Linked DNA regions of Diceros bicornis minor. The protein of the gene in region 1 purifies or fractionates together with the protein of each later gene. This does not show direct contact. Links are inferred from orthologs where the notes say so. Each region holds a gene or a part of one and is shown in the gene's direction. Other genes may lie near its edges.

Region 1 (10,234 bases):
CTGTGATGTTGATGAACCTCAGAAATATGATGTTAAGAAAGAAGCCGGGGGCCGCCCCGTGGCTTAGCCGTTAAGTGCACGCGCTCTGCTACTAGCACCCCGGGTTCGGATCCCAGGGGCGCACCGACACACCGCTTCTCCAGCCATGCTGAGGCCGCGTCCCACATACAGCAACTAGAAGGATGTGCAACTATGACATACAGCTATCTCTGGTCCTTTGGGGAAAAAAAGGAGGAGGATTGGCAATAGATGTTAGCTCAGAGCTGGTCTTCCTCAGCAAAAAGAGGAGGAATGGCATGGAGGTTAGCTCAGGGCTGATCTTCCTCACACACACAAAAAAAGAAGTCAGACACAAAAGGTCGCATATTCTACGATGCTACTTACATGAAATATCCAAGATAGGCAAATACAGAGAGAGAGGAAACAGACTGGTGGGTGGCCAGGAGTTGGGAGGAAGGAGGAATGGGGAGTAACTGCTAATAGGTTCTTTTGGGGGTGATGAAAATGTTTTGAAACTAGATAGAGGTGATGTTTGCACAACATTGTGAATGTGCTAAATGCCACTGAATTGTACACTATAAAATGGTTAGTGTTATGTTACGTGAATTTCATCTCAATTCAAAAAGAGGGGGAGGGCTTGTGCCTCTCAGAGTGAGAGGAGAAAGTTAAACAAGAACAGGTGTGCAGATCTCCCCGCACTGTGCCTCCCCGATACCATTATTGCTCAAAGTGCCATCTCCCCATTGTGGGAGAGGGTGGGGCTGGGCTCATCGAGCAGTTTCACCTACTAAGCCAAGTTAGTGACTTGCTCAAGGCCACGCAATGAGTCATGTGCGGACTCTGGGCTAGAACTTGGCTTTTCCAATCTGTGAGTCCCGAACACGTTCTCTCCATGCTGCTTCTCCTACTTGATACTAGAACGGCACTTTACAGTTTATGAAATATTTCCTCCCACATGATTTTCTAACACCCCTGGCTTCAGAGGCTCAGCATAGCCAGGTAGTTAGAGAGCATGGCCTCTGGTGTCAGACGAATCTGGGTTCAAATCCAGGCTCTGTCACTTCTTAACTGTGTGTCTTTGGGCAAGTCATCTAACCTCTGCGAACCTTGGTTTCTCCAACTGTAAAATGGGAATAATGACTTACTCTATGTATAAAGTAGGAACAAAGCTGGCAGATAGAAATAAAGCAAGAGTGAGGTCAATGCCTAGCACACAGTAAATACCGAATAAATGACGGCTGTTAGTATTAGTACTCAAAGAAGCTACCCTGGCAAAGCACTTAACACATAGGGTTAAGGGTGACAGAACGAAACAATTTCAGAGCCACCTTGCCGCACGCCCCAAGTGCTCCAAAGCAGTGGTTCTTAACTGGGGTGGGGAGAGTAATTTTGACCTCCCAGGGGACATGTGGTGGTGCCTGGAGACATCTTTAAATGTCACAACTGGGGAGGGGGGCTGTGCTACCCCTAGTGGGTGGAGGTCAGGGATGCTGCTAACCCCCTACAGCCCACAGGCAGCCCCACAACAGAGAACCATCTGGCCCAGACTGTCAGTGGAGCCCAGGATGAGAGACCCCGCTCTAAACTTAGCCTCCCTGTGCCAGACTTAGCTCCAGACGACAGTGCCATCCACCCTCCAGATACCAGGACAGCTTGCTGCTTTCCCAACCACGGGGTGAGTCATTTCATGAAGCTAAGGAACATTTAGCAAGGCGATAATCACCGTAATTTCCCTGTTGGGTAAGTCCAGATGGAAGTATATTTGGGGCCTTCTCAAAGACAGACACACCCAACATCAACAGACTCCATGGGGACCAAGGATGGTTCAAGAGATTTTGAAAGACCCGTCTAAATCCTCTTCCTCGGAGAAGGCTTCTGGGAACATTCCAGAGAATCTGCTCTCCCTGATCATGCATGAAAGGCATGAGCACAGAGACTGGCATCCAGTAAGCACTCAATAAATGCTAGCTATTATTATTATCATCATCATAGTCATTGTCCTCTTTATTACTATCTCCCCAGCTACATGCTCACGATAGCCTGAGATGGGTGATATTGTCCCCAGTCTGTAGGTGAGGAAACTGAGGCTCAGAGCCGTGATGCCACATTTGCCATCAGCCCCTCCCAACCTCACAGCTTCCACTCCTGCTCACCTATAGTCCCTTCTCCTCACAGACAGCAAAGGGCTCTTTCAAAGAGGAAATCAGATCTTATTTAGGAGAAGACGCTCTGTGGGTAATGATGTTATGTGATATTCTACGATCCAAAACTTCTTTATGATTTAAGAGTCTTGAAAAATTAAGAGCAATGCCACAGTGGTGTAAGATGTTACCATCAAGGGGAAACTGAGGGAAAGGTATATGGGAACTCTTTGTACTCTCTGTGCAACTTCTCCATAAATCTAAAATTATTTCAAAATAAAAAGCTTATTTAAAAAACTAATTAGATCATGTTACTCCTCTGCCTAAACCCTATAGTAATTTCCCATTAGGCTTAGAATATACTCTGAATGTCTTCCCGTGGCCACCAAGTGGTCTGGCCTTTGCCCACTTCTTCAACTTCCCCTCCTAACACCCTCCCTCTCACACAGCACTCCAGCCACTCTGGCCTTCTCTCCATTCCTCCAACTCTGGAAGATTATTCCTACCTCAGGGCCTTTGCACTTGCTGTTCCCTCTTTTGGGAATACTCTTCTGCTACGTAGTTCTTCCCAGGACTTTGCCTTTTCTCATCCTTCAGATCTTGACTCAAATGTCAAATCCTCAGAGTCCCTCTTGTCTGTGTTCACATGACCCCTTCTGATTCTCTCATAAAACTCACCACTCTCTGACATTATCTTCTTTAATTGGTTTCTCTGTTCCTATCTGTCTCCTCCACTAGACCAAGAGTTCCATGAGGGCAGGGACTATGCTGGTTTGCTCACTGCTGTGTCCCCAGCTTCTCATACAGAGTAAGGCCTCAATGAACATTTGCCAAGAGAGTACCAGCGTCTGCTGGTAATACCACAGGACGTTGAAATAAAGCTGTGGACTTTGTCAAAGGGCTTTCATCCACATTTTTTCCCATGGTTCCCTACTTTGTACAAAACCTCCAGAATACCCAGGTAGGTCCAGATTTGCTGACAAACCTTATCAACACCATTTCTTTGAATCATTTAACAATAATCCTAATGTTCATTAAATTTGGAAAAGGGAGGAGGAAGAGTTCACCCCCAACCTTCTAGAACAGAGCCCAGATATGCTTTGTTGGCCTCACACAGTATTTTAGAAGAATTTTGAGTTCATGACGAACTTTTTAAAATGGAAACATTTCACATAAAAATCCGTATGTTCAAGTTCTCCTGACAACTCAGAGGATCTGGCCACACTGGGCCCCAGTTTCCCACACGGCCCCAGTGGACTGAAAATGGGAAGTGGCCACTCCTTAGATGAGACTTGCGCTCTCCAGTTCACCACAGTACCTATCCACCTAGCTTAATTTTTTCATGCTATCCGCCTGGTCCCTTTAGTCACTGGGATTCCCCTCAAAGCCTAAAGTATCCTTAGAAATACTATTGTTTCACAAATATTTTAGCCACAGCCTCCATCTTCAAATTGTACATGGAAGGTCAATGTCTAAAACAGATAGTAGCAATAATAGTTAATATTGATGGAGTGCTTTCTGTGTGCCATGCTTCTGTTCGGTTGACTTGAGGGGTTGGGGACCAGAACCCCATCGGCTCCCCAGCATCTTCAGCGGCTCCCTAAGAAAGCTCTGTGGATCCAAGGAAGACAGTTCGAAAAGTACATTTTAATCCATTCTCCTCCTTTTACAGATAGGCAAACTGAGGCCTAGAAAGGGGAAAGGACATTCCACCGGGTAGACAGTAGCCTTTCTGGCAAATGCTTGTCTGCTGGTCCTTAGGGAGGCCACTAGTGTCAATAATGGCAGGAAAAGGCCAACAGGGGATCAGTTCTTTCCTCCGAGTTGTGTGCTGGTGCCTGGGAGCTGATCAGGACTACCCTCTGGGCTCACACCTCTCTCAGGCCCAGAGCCAGCTAATTCACTTAGGCACGTGCCAGCAAAACTGGACTCTGGAGTGGAGTAGCCCAGGGGAGAATGGTGTGTGAACAGAGGCCCTCCCCATGTCCCAGTCCTGTCTGAATTCCTCCGCCAGCCCTGATGGTGTCAACAGATGGTAACATACCTGCGATTTTGTATGGAAAATTACAGTGCTCTTCCTGTGGGTAGAGACACGCGGAGATCGTTCCACTGGGTTCCACATTTGTTCTGTGTCTAGTGTGTGCCAGGGTTGTGCTAGGTGCTAGGGATTCACAACCGTGATGTATTACATATGAACACAGGCTTTTGTTTCTGGCTGTCCTGAGTTCCAGCCCTGGCTCCGTAACTCACTAGCTGTGTGACCTTCAGCAAACAACCCAGCCTCTCTGCCTCTCACTTTCTTCATCTGTAAAATGGGTGTGATAGGAATAGGACATAGTTCCTAGGATTGTCTTGGGATAATTTTTGTCACACACTAAGACAATGAGTGCGGTGTTTTTTTTTTCCACCGCACTTATCAGAAGCTGATATTTTTATTTGCGTCTTTGTTTATTGTCTGTCTGGCTTACTAGAGAACTCTCCATGAGAGAAGGGCCTTGTCTATCTTGCTCACCCTTGCTTCTCCGCCTAGAACAATGCCTGGCACAGAGTAGGGGCTCCATAAATATTTGTCTGCTGAATGAATCTCTGTCTTTCATATTGCTGCTCTAACTGACTTTGCCATGATGCGGCCTGCTCGGGAGGAGCCCAAAGTCTCCCTGACTCCGGCAGAGCCACCCCGACCTTGACAGCCAGCCGTTCACAACAGCCCTGGGCATCGGCTCCGGATCAACTGGGCTCCGTGCCCAGGGCTGACAAGCGACACTTGTGTTTCTTCTGGTGGACAGAGCTGCAGCACGGGAGAGCGAGGTGGCGACCGGGGACAGTGGAGTGAGCCGCTCCGCCGCGCAAGGGGAGCCCCGGACCTCAACGCCCCGCACCCGCAGCAAGGAGCCCGCACCCGGCCCAGGCCGCCCCCGAGGATGGCTGCCCCGGTGGCGCAATCACCTCGATGGCATTCAGGGATAGGAATTCGTGCATCCTGTGCACCTTGAGAAACAAAACTAATTTCTCTGGGAAGGGAAAGGGCTTTGCAAACTGTAAAGCGCTGCAGGAAAAAAACCACATAAATGAAAAGGTCAGGAAGAGAGCAGATGTGTTTGCTGAGTGCAGGCTGCACTTCCAAACCCAGCTGAAGGCGACGCGCAGCCCCGGAGGTGGCACACTGGGGGACCTCCCGGAGAGGGATGCACTTGGAGGGCCAGGGTTTCCCCGCGTGTCTGCAGAAGCCAGGACCCGCCCGCGCTGTCTGCTCCTGCAAACTCGCTCCGCTCTCGCGGCCTCGAGCTGCGGCGCGCGCAATCTGCAAATTCTGCCTTTCTCTGCTGCACACGCTCGTTCACCTTTGTTCTGGCTAGAATCAGGGTAACTGTTCCGACGATTATATAACCTCCCGAGTTCAAGAGAGATAACCCCAAGATAAGGATGATGAAATTATTTTTTGAGGGTGAATTTAAAAAAATGTTTCTCCAAATGTAAAAGTTGCAGAAGCGCACAAAAGAATACATACAGATACCCATATTCCCACCACTCAGAATAAATGTTCACATTTTGATTTATCTGGGACAGGTCTTTTTTTTTTTAGTAGTAACCAAATAAACTTTTCCCTTCCCGCAAGTCCCGGCAAATCTGAATTCAAAATAAATCAACCCACTGCCCTCTATTCTCCCACTCCATCTTCACCCCAGATGTATCTTAAAGGGTGAACTCCAGGACCCCCGAATTCCCTCAGTGCGCTTCCAGACGGCCAGGTCTGCAAACATCTGGCCCCAACGAGCAGCGTCCGGCGAAGGCCGCCACCCTCGGAACGCACAGCGGCGTTTTCTCCCCGGTCCCCAACTCCCGCGTGCAACTTTGCTACTCACGCTCCCGCCAGGGGGCCTATTTGCTCGGCCCGTTTGGCGGAAGGATCCCGCGCGCGGTCGCGGTTACGCTCAACCGTCTCCTCCCCCTCCCCGCGCCCTGGCCCCGCCCCCTCCCGCGCGCCCTATGGCCCATAAAGAAGTCCCGGCCGGGCCGCTGCACTCCCCCGCGCGCATCCGTGCGCCGCCCGAGGCTGGCTCAGGAGTCGGCGGCCATCTTGTTCTTCTCGTGGTTCCAGTGGGGAGAGAAGGAGGAAGCAGGGAGCGGGGCGGTTGGGGGGGGACCCGCCGCGGCTGCTGCCACCGCCGCCACCACCGCCTCTGTGCTCGTGGCGTGGGAAGGGAGGTGTGAGTCCCGGGCGCGAGCCGGCGGCGGCGCCGCTGCGGGAGGGTCTGCGGCGGGAAGGCGATGGCGGATATAGATAAGCTCAACATCGACAGCATCATCCAACGGCTGCTGGAAGGTGACGGCGGCGGCGGGCGGCCCGGGGCTCGCGGGGAGGGGAGTTGGGGGCCGGTGGGGCTTGCGGCGCCGAGGAGGCTGAGCACGGCGAGTTGGGCTGCGGCCGGAGGGAGGCGGCGGGTCGCGCTCGGCCGGCCGGGGACCCTCGGACCCCGCTCATTCATTGCCCGGGTGCAGCCTCCCTGCTGGCCGGGAATTGGGCAACTCCGCTGCCCACTCGCTCGCTTCCGGGCCGTACCCCCTGCGCCCCGCGGCCCGGGCCGGTCCAGCCCCCGGACGGAGCGTCCCGCACTTTGTGGTCCTCGTCCTCTGCGAGAGCGGTCGGGGGGGGGGGGGGAGCTTCGTCCCCATCTCGCTCGGTTTTATTTTTTGTGGGGCTGGGGTCGGGGGGCCCACTTTGGTACTTGGTGACGAACGCTCCTGTCTCAAGGGGATGTTGGAACCCACCTGCCCCTGCCCTTCCAGATACTCTTTCCGAGTTGCCCCTGTCTTGAGATCTCCGCGCTCTTTTCTGAACGTGAAACCGGCGAAGATGACAGTTTCGTTCTCGTCTTTGCAACGTGCCAGGCTCTGTGTTAGCGCTTTGCGTTCATCGCATCGTTAAGAAGATAATAATAGCGCTTCTAAAGCGCCGTATGTCAGGCATTTTTTGAGCACTTTACACAGATTTCACTTAGTTCTGTCTGCAACCTTGCGAGGTTATTTTTTCCTGTTTTTCAGAGGAAACTAAGACGCAGGTGAAGTCACTTGTCCAAGGTCACACAGTTAGTGACAGTCAGGGTTCAGATCCAGGCAGCCAGCAGCTAGAACTCCTTCATCTCACCCTGTGTGTGAAGGAAGGAGATCTCCAGTGGTTAGGCAGAGGTCAAGTTAGAGCTTTCGTTCTGGCTGATTTAAGACTCGTGCGGTGCCTCGTAGTGATGCGGGGGACGGATGAAGTTCGGATTATGGAGAGGGGCGCTGAACCTAACTGCCCCCGGTTCCCGAGCCGCTCTGCTGATGCGAACGTCTTATTCGGAACTCGGGAAGAATTCAGATCCCTTTCTTGGTTTGGGCACTGAATAATGTAGATTTGACTGAATATTCACTGCCTTTTGCCTTTCTACTGTCCTAAATATTGTCGGAACAGAAATGCTGTGAGACGGAGTCGAGAGCGTTCACAGTTGGACAGCTGTGTCCTTAGAATTTGCAGATCTTTTGAAATAAGTTATTAAAATGAAACTCCTGAAAATATCTTTTCTTTATCTGTACAGGTTTTTTTCCTTTTATATTTTCTTGAAAGAAAAGAAGAACCCACTGAATGTACCCCTGAAATGCTCTTGAAATGTTGCTGCCATTTGTGGGTGAAAACCTTGTCATTCGTTCAGGAGCTGGCATTTATTATAAGAACCACACTTTTCACACTAGTTAATACAATTCTTTGATTTAGATGAGGCAGAAGTGGGTCTGAAACTGATTAAAACTATTTGCAATAAGAAAAGAACTTTTTATTAAATATTTTTATTTTAAACTTTTTAATTAGCTTCTGTGTCTCTGTGCAGGGATATGTATTGCTAGATTAGGGTAGGCTTTATTTCACTGAGAAACAGGAAAAATTGGATTCTGCATGGATTAGAAACATTACAGTTTTAAGATTAAAGTCTTGTTAAGTTTTGAGTTGCCCATAACTGTATTCGTGTAACAAATTTGGTTAATTTTGATCTTATTTTTTTCAATTGTGCTAAGGAATTTCCCTTGATAAACTTGGATCATATAAAAAATGAGATCTGTCATTGTTTCTTAATAGTTTCTCTCTATACGTGTTATGTTGCACTTGAAAAGCAGGTTTTTTTATATTTCATTTTTCATTGAAATTAATATAATAAAGCTGTGCATTTTCATGCCTTGGGAAAGGCTAGGTACACAATATACTTAAACTCCTTTTTTTCTCATCAGTGTTAAATTGGCAGAGAAATGGTTGAAGATGATCCATTGAGGATGTGTATATATCCAAGTTAGAAGATGTTGATCATAAATTCATGATTTTTGTAATGCCCCAAAAACCTTTTTCCCTAAAAATTTTTATTAAGATTTAAGTATATCTGAAAATGGAGAGAATGTGAGTTTTGTGACCTTGTTAGACTTTTTTACGTGTTCAAAATTGCCTCGTCTTCAAGTGGAGGACCGACCGTACAAGCTAGTTGAGAAGCAGCTCAGTAAGAGTACTAAAAAGCAACTCAAAGGCTTATTTAAGAAAGGTTTAGATTTTAGTCACTACAGCTTTGCGATTCTTTTCTGCTCTAAACTTTTAGTTTTTCCTCAACTAAAGGCGAGGCAACCCCTCCGCAACCCACCTTGGGAGCTTTTAACCAAGCTCTGCCTTGCTGAGGAGAAAACCCTAAGGTTGTTACTCCTTCATATAATTAATGTTCAGTTATTTCAGTAACTACACAGTAAAACTTGGGCGATTTAGAGAGAAAGTAAGCCAGCTGTTGATTTGGTCTGATATTCCTACACTGTTGGAGAAGAGTGAGATTTGGGGCAGTTTTACTTTGTAAGTGACCTTGTTCGGAGAGCACCGATGGCCGGCACTTTTCTTGCAAAGCAGGCGGTTGTAACTTACTTCACGTCCTGATTTGCAAGATGCCTCTTTGCTCTGAAGGTGACCATTGTCAGACTGCAAGACCATGCCAGGCTCTGCATAATCCTTGACTTGCCGGCCCTCGAACGTGTTTACTGATTTAATCCTCTGATCTGTAAGAGTTCATCTGAAGATAGTGAGTGTTGAAATGTTCTGAAAGTCTAAAATTGTTCGGGTAACCCATGTGCTTTTTAAAAGCTGAAGCTTTTTGGTGTAACGTGAAACAAGTTTATTTTCTAATGTTAAAATGACAGCAGTCTCTGGTCCTGAAGATAATAAGGGACAAACATAATGGCAAAGAAAAAAGTTCTTAAAATGCTGACCAAGGAAAACAAAAGTAATCTTTCCTAGTGAGACCTCTGCAATTGTTTTTTCTTTATACGCCTGATAATTTTAACAATTAGAGGCTTTTCTTGGGATCAGTTACCATAGGGCATTTTGTTCATAAAGACTGATATTAAAGTTGTGTGTTACTAATTCCTTAATTTAACAAGAAGTCTGTGGTGTGAGCCCCCTGCTCTTCCCTCCCCTCCCGCGTCAACTGTGTGCCGCATCCTTTCCTGTGATGTGAGACAGAAAAGCTCTTTTGGAGACAGATCTGCAGCTTGCACCAGTCCTAAACCACAGCAGGGAAAGGCTTGGTCTCCTTGTGCCGGCAGTCCCCCTGGCCCGTCAGGAGCAGGGGGCAGCAGTGAAATCCTTAGAACAGGATGGTTTGTGTCCTTCTGTTGTGCTTGAGAGAACGTTCGCCAAAGGCGCCGAGGCCAAGCTTTCCTCCTCCGCGTTGGGAAATGGAGGCAGTGCCGGGCCATGCATTAGTAGTCTGTCCACGGTAGAGTGGTGAAACTGTTTTCTGTCTTTGAGACTGCGGCCCTGTAATGACCTGCAACCTGTTCTGCAAAATCATGTGCCAGTGCTGGTCAGTCCGCTTGTCTTGTTAGGGTTGCAGAACTTGAAGCAGGGAGCTGATTGATAGTATGTGGACTTAGCCATTTCACTTCATTTACAGTCTACTGTTGGTAGACCTTAAAGATTGAGATGTGAAGGAGATAGTACTCTGATGTGAATTGCTCTGTGAATGAGGAACTTGGCAAGTCTTATTCAAGAGGAGTAAGGCAAGATTCCATCTCTTTGGAGTTCACAGAATTCT
Region 2 (9,687 bases), on another chromosome or scaffold:
TCAGCAGCCTCAAGTTCAGCCTCCCTGTAGACCTGGCCGTGCGCCAGCTCAAGAACATCAAAGATGCCTTTTGATGAGAATGCCCTGGCCCTAGACCAGCACCTGGCTCAGTAGAGACAGATGGTTAGTCTTCTAGGATAGGAGTAAGGAGTGAGAGGAGGGGTTACAGACATTTTCCCTGGCCAAAGGACTGCAAAGTCTGCTTTCCCCACCAACTTAGCATCTCAGAAAGAAGTGCTGGGAGGTGTGGGGAGAAAAAAGCAATGCTAGAGACCCTCTTGTTAAAAGATTCTGCCCTGGTGTGTAACCACAGTGTATTTGCGGGCACATATATTTGAGCCTATGTAAAAGGAATCAGTCATGACACACCGTTAATGCACCAACTCATCATGCCACATCTGATTTTTAGGAAACCCAAGTTTCTCTAACCATTCTCTTTATGGCTGTGAGTGACAACATGAGTTATTGGTCCTGGAAGACATTCGACTTGAGGCTTCTGTTACTTAAATTGGGAGCCAAGGTCAGGGGAGGCTGTGTATGTTCCATAGCTGCCTCTAAAACTGGGAATGGGACTATCTGCGAACAGCACTTCTAAGAGTGTTAACCACAAGTTGATTTTAATATGAGCCCTTTTTCATGTAGAGGTAAGAACTGAAATCTCTTCCTGACAAGGTGGTCCTCTTCTTAGGGCACAGATGATGGTCTTTTGGTTTTGGAGCTGGTTATTTATGAGGAATGACAACCATTGTCTAGTACCATGTCCTCTGGCAAGTAACCTTCCCTCTGTACAACTGCCAACAAGACGCTGACAATCTACTCAGGAGTGAATGTGTTAAAAGTATGCTCCTTGAGAGAACCCTTGCCACCTGAGTCAAGTTTGGACATCGGTGACCAGCTGTGACTCCTCCTGGGGTTGTGATTCTACTTGTCCGGCAGGCTGGATGATGGCGGAGGTCTGATCATGCGATAGGTACTACAGCAGGGAGAGGGACTACAGCAGATCACTGTTGGCAGACAAGGGGCTGGGCATTTCATTGTAAAACTCACTCTAGAGTGGTCCTATTTGATCTTCAGTATTTTAGCCTTTTTAGTTCATATTTGTAATTCAGCTTGCATACTGCTCCAGGACTGACCAAAGATGGGCAAAGTGTATCACTTTCTGGAAGACCAAATGGGCTCCCAACACTACTGATTCAGCATTGTTTCATGTATTAAATAGCCAGCTGTACTTTGTGTCTGCACTGTTATGTAGTGCATTTTAACTTAATTTTTTTCACAACATGTTATTTAAGGTGTATTATTGATAGTTCATTATAATTAGTCCTGTGTGAAACAGGATAAGTGTAAGGTGTAAAAATGATCTATCTGTGGTTGCCAATAAAATCATAATATTTTGTGTAGCTTCTCTGCAAAGACCTTAGAGACCCTTGGCTTTGGTTTATATATCTCTCTGGGTATTATCAGCCCATTTGATCCAGATCAGTATTTCCTCGAGCAATGTCTGGCCCCTGGCCTTTCTGCCTTTTCTCTGCCCCCTGCCCTGGATCAACTCAGCTTTGGTGGTGGTTTTTTCTCCCTGAAAAAATTCGCTAAAAAAGCGCCCCTCGGGCCGGCCCCGTGGCTTAGGGGTTAAGTGTGCACGCTCCGCTACTGGCGGCCCAGGTTCGGATCCCAGGCGCACACCGACGCACCGCTTCTCCAGCCATGCTCAGGCCGCATCCCACATACAGCAACTAGAAGGATGTGCAACTATGACATACAACTATCTACTGGGGCTTTGGGGGGGGCGGGGGGAGGAGGAAGATTGGCAATAGATGTTAGCTCAGAGCTGGTCTTCCTCAGCAAAAAGAGGAGGATTAGCATGGATGTTAGCTCAGGGCTGATCTTCCTCACACACACACACAAAAAAAGCACCCTTGGCATTATCATCCCATCTCGCTCAGTCCTACAGTCCCATCCCCACAGCAGATGTCACCACACATGCCACTTTTGGAATTGGCACTTTTAGATCCATTGTCTGGATATCATTTAGGGTGGGTAGTAACTGCTATAGTCATATGGCAGAGCCCTGGATCACCCCAGTATTATTTTTTTCTAATCCTCACAGAAACTAATTTGCACGAAAGCTTTGTGCTAGCGTCATGGGAAGCATTTTTGTTTGTGTCATCCTAATGTAATTCTTACTACTTGTAAGGCAGGACAATATTAGCCCCATTTTCTGGCTCAGGAAACTGAGCTGCAGAGAAGTGAAACATTTTGTCCAGGTTTACATGATGGAAGAGCTGGGGTTTGAACTCGGGTTGCCAGAATACCAATCCTATGAGCTTTATACTCTATCATGTTACCTCACTGTATCATGCTGCTTCTAAATCTTTTGTTCCTCTCTCTCCTTTATCCACCCTGTCACTCTGCCATCACTTTGGGGAAGAGAAGGTATTTTCCACATACCTGCCAGAAATTTCAGCTGCCAAAGGACTAGGCTGCAGGGAGATGGGCAGATAGCCATTGCTCTGCCAAGTTCTTCATGAAACTTAAAGATTTGTAGAGACAGAGACAATCCTGCCAGCATCCCAACAGTCAGATACCTGCTAGTCACTGATAGCATCTGCATCATAACTGAGGACAGAGCTCTGTCCTTGGCTTGGGGTGAGGCAGACAGGACGAGGGAGGAGAGGAGGAACAGTCAGCCCAGGTCTAAGGATATGCAAGAATAGAATGAAAAAGTCATGGATACGCATCCAATGAAAGTTCAGGGTCTGTTGTAAAAGTATTATCTGCAAAGCATTGTTAAAGATTTCTAAGGTGCTCTGCATTCATTCATTCATTATTGAGGGCCTACCAACTGTCTGGGCCAGGCTGGATGCTGAGGAAAGAGAGGAGTAAAACATACTCCCTGCCCTCAAGGAACACAATCTAGCTCAAGAGATAGCAAACCAATTGGAGGTTTGGGTAGCTTGCTAAAACTCAAATTGCTGGGTCAAATCCCTAGAGTTTTTTATTCATTAGCTCTGGGGTGGGGCCTGAGAACTTGCATTTCTAACAAGTACCCAGGTTTTGCTGATACTGCTGGTTTGGGGACCACTTTCAGAACCATTGATCCAAACCAACTAAGATGTTTTATAATAAAGGTAAGTACGGCTTGGATTGCTGAGGGAACACAGAAGGAAGAAATTAATTCTGCCTGGGAGAATTCTGGAGCGGCCTTGAAGGATGGATGGGATTTGGATAGGATTTTGCCTAGCTGCGGTGGAAGAGAAGAATAAAGTCACATGAAACAGCCTGGGTAAAGACCCCAGGGCTCAGAAGAAGTTGGATCTCTGCGCAGTTGAGCTAGCTGGAACCCAGAGGGTATGTGAAGGGTATGGAGGCGTCACAGGAACTGAAGGAAAGGTAGAAAGGAAAGGAGTGAGAGTTCAAACCTTGGTACAGAAAGCCAATGAAGGACTTCAAGCAGATAAGTGGTGGACTTAAGAGTTGTGTTTAGAGAAGTTTCTCAAAATAAGATCTATAGATCTTTATTTGGGCTGCACTCCAGACCTGAATTGGAATCTCTTGGACTGGAGATGCATCCTTAATAAGCAACCCAAGAAATTCTGACCCACACAAAAGTTGGAGGAGGGACTGGAGAAGAAAAAGAACTGAGACTGGATCAGAGCAGGTGGAAAAGGATAGAAAAGAAAATTTAAAAGACATAAGACTGGGCTGGCCTGGTGGTGCAGCAGTTAAGTTTGCGCGTTATGCTTCAGCGGCCCAGGGTTTGCCAGTTCAGGTCCTGGGTGCAGACCTACGCACCACTCATCAAGCCATGCTGAGGCGGTGTCCCACATAGAAGAGCCACAACTCTACAGCTATGTACTGGGGCTTTGGGGAGAAAAAAGAAAAAGAGGAAGACTGGCAACAGATGTTAGTGCAGGGTCAATCTTCTTCTTCAAAAAAAAAGACAAGGTAAAATTCACAGGATTTAGTTACTAATTTGATTTGGAGAGCTTTAGTTTGTGAGAAGAGTCCAAGGCAATTATAAGATTTCAGGGTTTGGTTTCTATTTTCCAAGAGAGAAACAGCAAAAGAGGCAGAAGCAGATATGGAGCCTGGGAGAAGACTATGGAAGTGGAAATGGACAGAGCAGTGTGGTGTAGTGACTGAGTTGGGAATGGGGAGGCCTGGCCCTGCACCACCAACCCTGTGACTTTGCTGCTCTAGAACTGTCCTCTCATCTTTGAGAGGCCAGAGTAGATGATCTCGGAGGTCTCTTCCAACTCTAAAATGTCATATTCCAAATTAAAGCAGAGAATATTTTAATTGAATATATAAATATAAGTACATAATTAGGGTGATAAACCATTGGAATAGGCTCCTGAGGGCTGCAGGGAAAGTTGGTCCTCGGAGAGCGTCAAGAAGAGAATTGATGAAACCCTGACTGTTCTCACATCTTGCCCAAGACCAATCCTACAGATTCTTCAATGTTCAGATGGGCTTTTTCTTTCTCTTGAACTTGGAAGACACCTAAAGAGCCATCTAAAAACACTCTTCCAGTGAGTGATGGGAAATAATTCAGTTTAAGAGCCAACTAAATCTGGGTTCAAATTTAGATTTGAATCCCACCTATGCTACTGATCAGGCTCAATCCCAGATAGGTAACTTATCCTCTCTGAATCTCAATTTCCTCATGCTAAATGGGAGGAAAATACCCACGATGCAGAGTTGTGAGAATTAAGTAGGCTGTCGACTTACCTGAAGTGCCTAGCATCTTGCCTGGCACAGAGCAGGTGCCCAGTATGGTGACGGAGTAAACAGTATGGGCTCCGGAGGACTGCCTGAGTCAGAGTCCCAGCTCCACCGCTTATTAGCTGTGGACTTTGGGCAAATCACTTAACCTCTCTAAGCCACAGTTTCTTCAACTGTAGAATGGAGATAATAGTACCTATCTCGTAGTGTTGTTATGAGGATCAAATGAGATGATATACGTAAGTAGATTAACTCGGCCTGGCACAGGGTAAGCAGCTGCCATTATCACCGTCATCGTCCTTCACCTCCCTCACTGCTTATTCTAGTCAGTAATGTCTACGACATCATCAGACTCTAAATGTTAGGGGCAAGTACCCTTGTTTGATTGATCTTCTTCTCTCCCTCCTTACGTCTAACAGTGCACAAGGTAGGAACTAATAAATGTCCTATTTTGTTCCCTGACTCTTCCAAGGCAAAAAAGTAAATTTCAAACTGTGTCCCCCTCCTGGCGCCAAAGAAAGGAACTACAACCAAGGGGGCAGTGGAGCAGCAGGACACACAAGCTTTCCTTCCTCTTCCCTCCCAACGCGGGAGACAGGACTTCTTTGCTCTTGTCTACTGGTAGAGCTGCTAGTTAAGTTTGATTTGAATAAATCAGCCGCCAGGCTCTGCTTTCCCCTCAGGAGCTTCTTCCGCCCACAACACAGACTCTGAGCGCCGCGCAAAAGGCGGGGCGAGACCTAAGGGGCGGAACCGGAAGTGAGATCCCCTCTCCCGGGGTGAAAGGTTAGCGGAAATATCGTTTTTTCCTTTCTGCGGTAGATTCGGGTGGTTGCTGTTGGTGAGTAGAGTCTTGCCCAGGGTATTCCAATCCGCCGCCATCCGCGGCCTCGGGGTCGAGTGGCGGGGCAGCGCTGGGTGCTTTCCGTTCCTCGGTGTCTGGCGGCTTCGTAACAGATCCCATTCTGCGAGCAGGGTCCGCAAGCAGCCTGGGCCAAGACGGCGGTGAGGGCAGCCTGAAGTTTCCGGACCACAGCCTCAGCTTGCGGGTTTCTGAGCGGCCCCTTCTCCTTCGTTTCTGCAGAAATGGGCAAGTTCATGAAACCCGGGAAGGTGGTGCTGGTTCTGGCTGGACGCTACTCCGGACGCAAAGCGGTCATCGTAAAGGTACCAGCCTCGCGAGCCTTTGCGCCCTCGTCTCCCGGGAATCGGGCCGGTTTCGGGGGCGGGCAAGCTTGGAATTCCAGGCCTAGTTTGGGGGCATTGCCCACTGAGCATTGCGAGTGGTGGTGGGGTGAGCGCATCAGAGCTTTTGAGAGAGGAAGATGCGAAATAAAAACAAATGTGAGTTGAATTGGGCAGCTAACTCATAAGTCGTCCTCTAGCAAAGAGGCTTCAAATAATGATAGTAGCCAGCGTTTATTGAACGCTTGCTTGGTGCCCAGCACTGCCTTAGGGGTGTTGTCGGGTCCATCCTGGCAGTAACCGTGGGGACTTCCTTTCTGCTGATGAAGTCTAGAGATGTTAGTAGTTCACCTGAGGTCAAACAGGTACTAAGTGCTGCAGCTGGGACGACTCTGCAAAGAGGAGACGTTGTTTCTAGTCAAAATGGTCACTCACCATATTCTAGCCCTTCACTGTTTGCCTTCTGCCTGCGTTCTGTAGCCTCGTGTGAGATCTCCCTAAGCTCTGGCCACGTACACCACTGCTTTTGGCTTTTGTGGGGTCACCGGGCACCCTTGCTTCCCCTTCCTCCACGTGAGGCTGGCTTCTGGAATTAGGCTGCCAGTGTGGGCCTCTCTACCTTACTAGCAGTGCAGTCGTGGAGGAAGTTAAGAGATGTACAGGCCTAAGAACCAGTGCTTGGCACACAGCAAGCACTCCATAAATGTTAACTGTTGTTTCTTTTATAATTTTATTTATTTATTTTTTTTCCCCCAAAGCCCCAGTAGATAGTTGTATGTCATAGCTGCACATCCTCCTAGTTGCTGTATGTGGAACGCAGCCTCAGCATGGCCGGAGAAGCGGTGCGTCAGTGCACGCCCGGGATCCGAACCCGGGTCACCAGCAGCGGAGCGCAGGCACTTAACCGCTAAACCCCGGGGCCGGCCCTGTTGTTTCTTTTAAATCTCTTATCTCCCAAGAGGCTTTCCAGAGTCTTCCTGGTGGGAATGAATACCACTCCTATCCCTGCTACTCTTTGGGCATTTAGCATAGCACTTAGAATGTCTGCTTTGTGTGGTTTTTGTAACAGTGGGTCTCAGAGACCTGGGGGTGGCCTATTTCTATACATGCCCTACATCTAGCACAGTTTAAATAGTCATTCGGTTAATAACTAATGTCATTCTTGGTCATTCAGAACATTGATGATGGCACCTCAGACCGCCCCTACAGCCATGCCCTGGTGGCTGGGATTGACCGCTATCCCCGCAAAGTGACAGCTGCCATGGGCAAGAAGAAAATTGCCAAGAGGTCAAAGATCAAGTCTTTTGTGAAAGTTTATAACTACAATCACCTCATGCCCACAAGGTGAGCCTTTCAAGCATGGTAATGCAAGTGACTTGATTTCTTTTCCCCCCTCTCTGCCCTACTGAATAAGGAGACAACCTTGTAGCCACTCCAATGTGGGAAAGAGACATCATTTTCCATTGGTCACTTATAAAGTGTTTGTGGTTTTCAGTGTTGCCTCTTTAATCCATCTTGGAACTGTTCCTGTCGTTTTCTGTAGTGACTTCCCTGACTTGGCCAAGCAGGATTGAAAAATCTCTTCCAAGCTTGTTCTTGATCTGTCTCTCTCCTCATCTGAAAATTTTCTAAGTGTTGATTAAAAATTGTTTCATTTGTTTCCATCCACAGTAAACATAGGCATAGGATCTGGCTTGCCGTCGTCCACTGTTCCACTCTCAAGGATAGTTGTTATAGGCTTTTTAAAATGTGGTAAATAAATGAAAGCAAGTTTCCGACAATTAATTCCAGTCAACCACTGGGCCCTTTAGTTCCTGGCCTTCCACAGTATTGTGTAGCATATGCACTATCTTGGTACAAGAGTTTTAAGGAAATACAAGATTAGAGAGACTCCTGGACAATAATTGCCAAAACGCAGCAGCACGCACTTTGAAAGTTTGCTCTCAGGGTGCATGTTGACCTTAATTTGCTGTTTCTCAGCTGCTGGAAAGCGGTGAGGCTGAGGCAGCTAGCCAGTCAGCTTTTGCATTGTCATAATGACATAGGCGTAGGCATAAGCAGAACTTGAACAACCCTAAATAAAACGGAAAGCTAGCCAGTAGTCATGATCATAGTCAAGAAGATCAAATAAAGTGATGGTTTTTAGATAGAAAAATAGAGTAGTTAATGGAAAATTGAGAATGAAATGTGAAGTTTTTCAGTGGTTTGAAACTATGTAAATGAGTCGCTTAAAATTGGAGATTTTCAAAGCGTATCATCAGGACTTCGGCACAGCTTTTGATGGTTGCTTCTATGGGGTCAGATCCTCTTACCCCAATGTCACAGGAGTACTTGGTGGGGAGGGGGTGAAGGCCCTGCCAGCGTGTGGGCTGCTCCCACCTCCCCACCGTTGTCCCCAGGTACTCTGTGGATATTCCCTTGGACAAAACTGTCGTCAACAAGGATGTCTTCAGAGACCCTGCTCTTAAACGCAAGGCCCGACGAGAGGCCAAGGTCAAGTTCGAGGAGAGGTAAGTAGGCTTTGGTAGTGGATGCTGGGGTATGGTTTCACTGTTCTCTCTGAAGTGAATTTTGTCTTGTTCCTCTCCTCATTGATGTCTTTTTTTCCCCCCTCTAGATACAAGACCGGCAAGAACAAATGGTTCTTCCAGAAGCTGCGGTTCTAGATCTGTTTTGTTTCAGTCATTAAAAATACAAAAAATCCCTGTCTGCCTGCTGCGTGTATTATTGACTGGGGCAGAGCATTCATATGATGAGACACTGGGTAGAGGATGAGGGGCTGTGGGGAAATATAAAGGCTTGATCTGCCTTTGTGAGACTTGGGCTACTTCTGTCCTCAGCCCCATAGGCTGCCCCTTGATAGGTAAAGTGTGATAACTGTTTTCCCAGAAGGGCTGCTCTTGACATCTTTAGGTGCAGGATTGTTTAGCATCCCTGGCTTCGGCCCATTACATACCAAGAGAACTCTCCCCCCACCCCGCCCCCATTGTGAAAACCAAAGGCCCCTCTGAGTAGGCATCAGCTGCTTTGGATTGAGAACCACTAACCTGAAGCTGTTTATTGAACCACAGAGTGCCAGCATCCCACCCTGTGACTTAGATTTAGCGGGTCAGAATTTCTAGCAACTTAGGTGATGCGAGGCTGCTCATGACCACACTAGAGAACTGCTCTAGATAATAGGGATGGGTGCCAATGACAAAAGCCTGAGCCCCAGAGCAGCCAGGGAGAAGTCCCCAAATGGCCTGGCTAGCAAAGGTTGGCAAGAAAGTGTGATTCAGGGGGCTTGGGCACTGGGTTTGTAACCACTGTGTTGCAGCAAAGGCGTTTGGCCTCTCTATCTGGGATTTTACCTTTAGATGCTTAACTGTGACCCTGTTGTACTGATGAGATAGGCACTCCAGCTGAGCTGGTTCTAAGTCACTAGATGGACCCAGGATTCAAACAGGCCTATTTATTAAGCCTTGCACTTGGCACACTTGCACCTGGGATGGGGGCTTGTTGAGAAAGGGGTTCAGTAAGTTCCTCGTAGTGGAAAAACCCTGGACTAAGTGAAAATAATAGAAAAATATGCACTGTTTTTTACACAGTTGCATTTGACTCTCACCGTTAAGTATTGGGCATCTCTACTGCAGTGGACTCCTGTTAGAGCTTGCCTACTCAACAGTCACAAATGGAACTGAACTTAAACCTTCCTCTGGCTAAAGATTCAGCAGGTTCCTTCCACTCTGCCTCAAGGTCCAAGTTCAAATACTGTTCCAACCCGGTTTTGATAAACAC

The links.
Region 2: the proteins of PPP1CC (region 1) and RPL27 purify together in Homo sapiens (affinity purification with mass spectrometry; 3 studies listed by BioGRID and IntAct, with this or other methods). This does not show direct contact. The link is inferred for Diceros bicornis minor from reciprocal best matches to the Homo sapiens genes PPP1CC and RPL27.

Annotation. Positions count from the first base shown.
Region 1 is NC_080774.1:9,196,046-9,206,279, reverse strand, and holds the start of PPP1CC (serine/threonine-protein phosphatase PP1-gamma catalytic subunit), read left to right. Parts: upstream 1-6,260; 5' UTR 6,261-6,410; coding exon 6,411-6,465; intron 6,466-10,234. UniProt on the Homo sapiens protein: Protein phosphatase that associates with over 200 regulatory proteins to form highly specific holoenzymes which dephosphorylate hundreds of biological targets.
Region 2 is NC_080757.1:41,955,347-41,965,033, forward strand, and holds RPL27 (large ribosomal subunit protein eL27), read left to right. Parts: upstream 1-5,591; 5' UTR 5,592-5,811; coding exon 5,812-5,892; intron 5,893-7,084; coding exon 7,085-7,254; intron 7,255-8,309; coding exon 8,310-8,420; intron 8,421-8,527; coding exon 8,528-8,576; 3' UTR 8,577-8,615; downstream 8,616-9,687. Other genes in the region: RUNDC1 (RUN domain-containing protein 1), read left to right, coding at 1-74.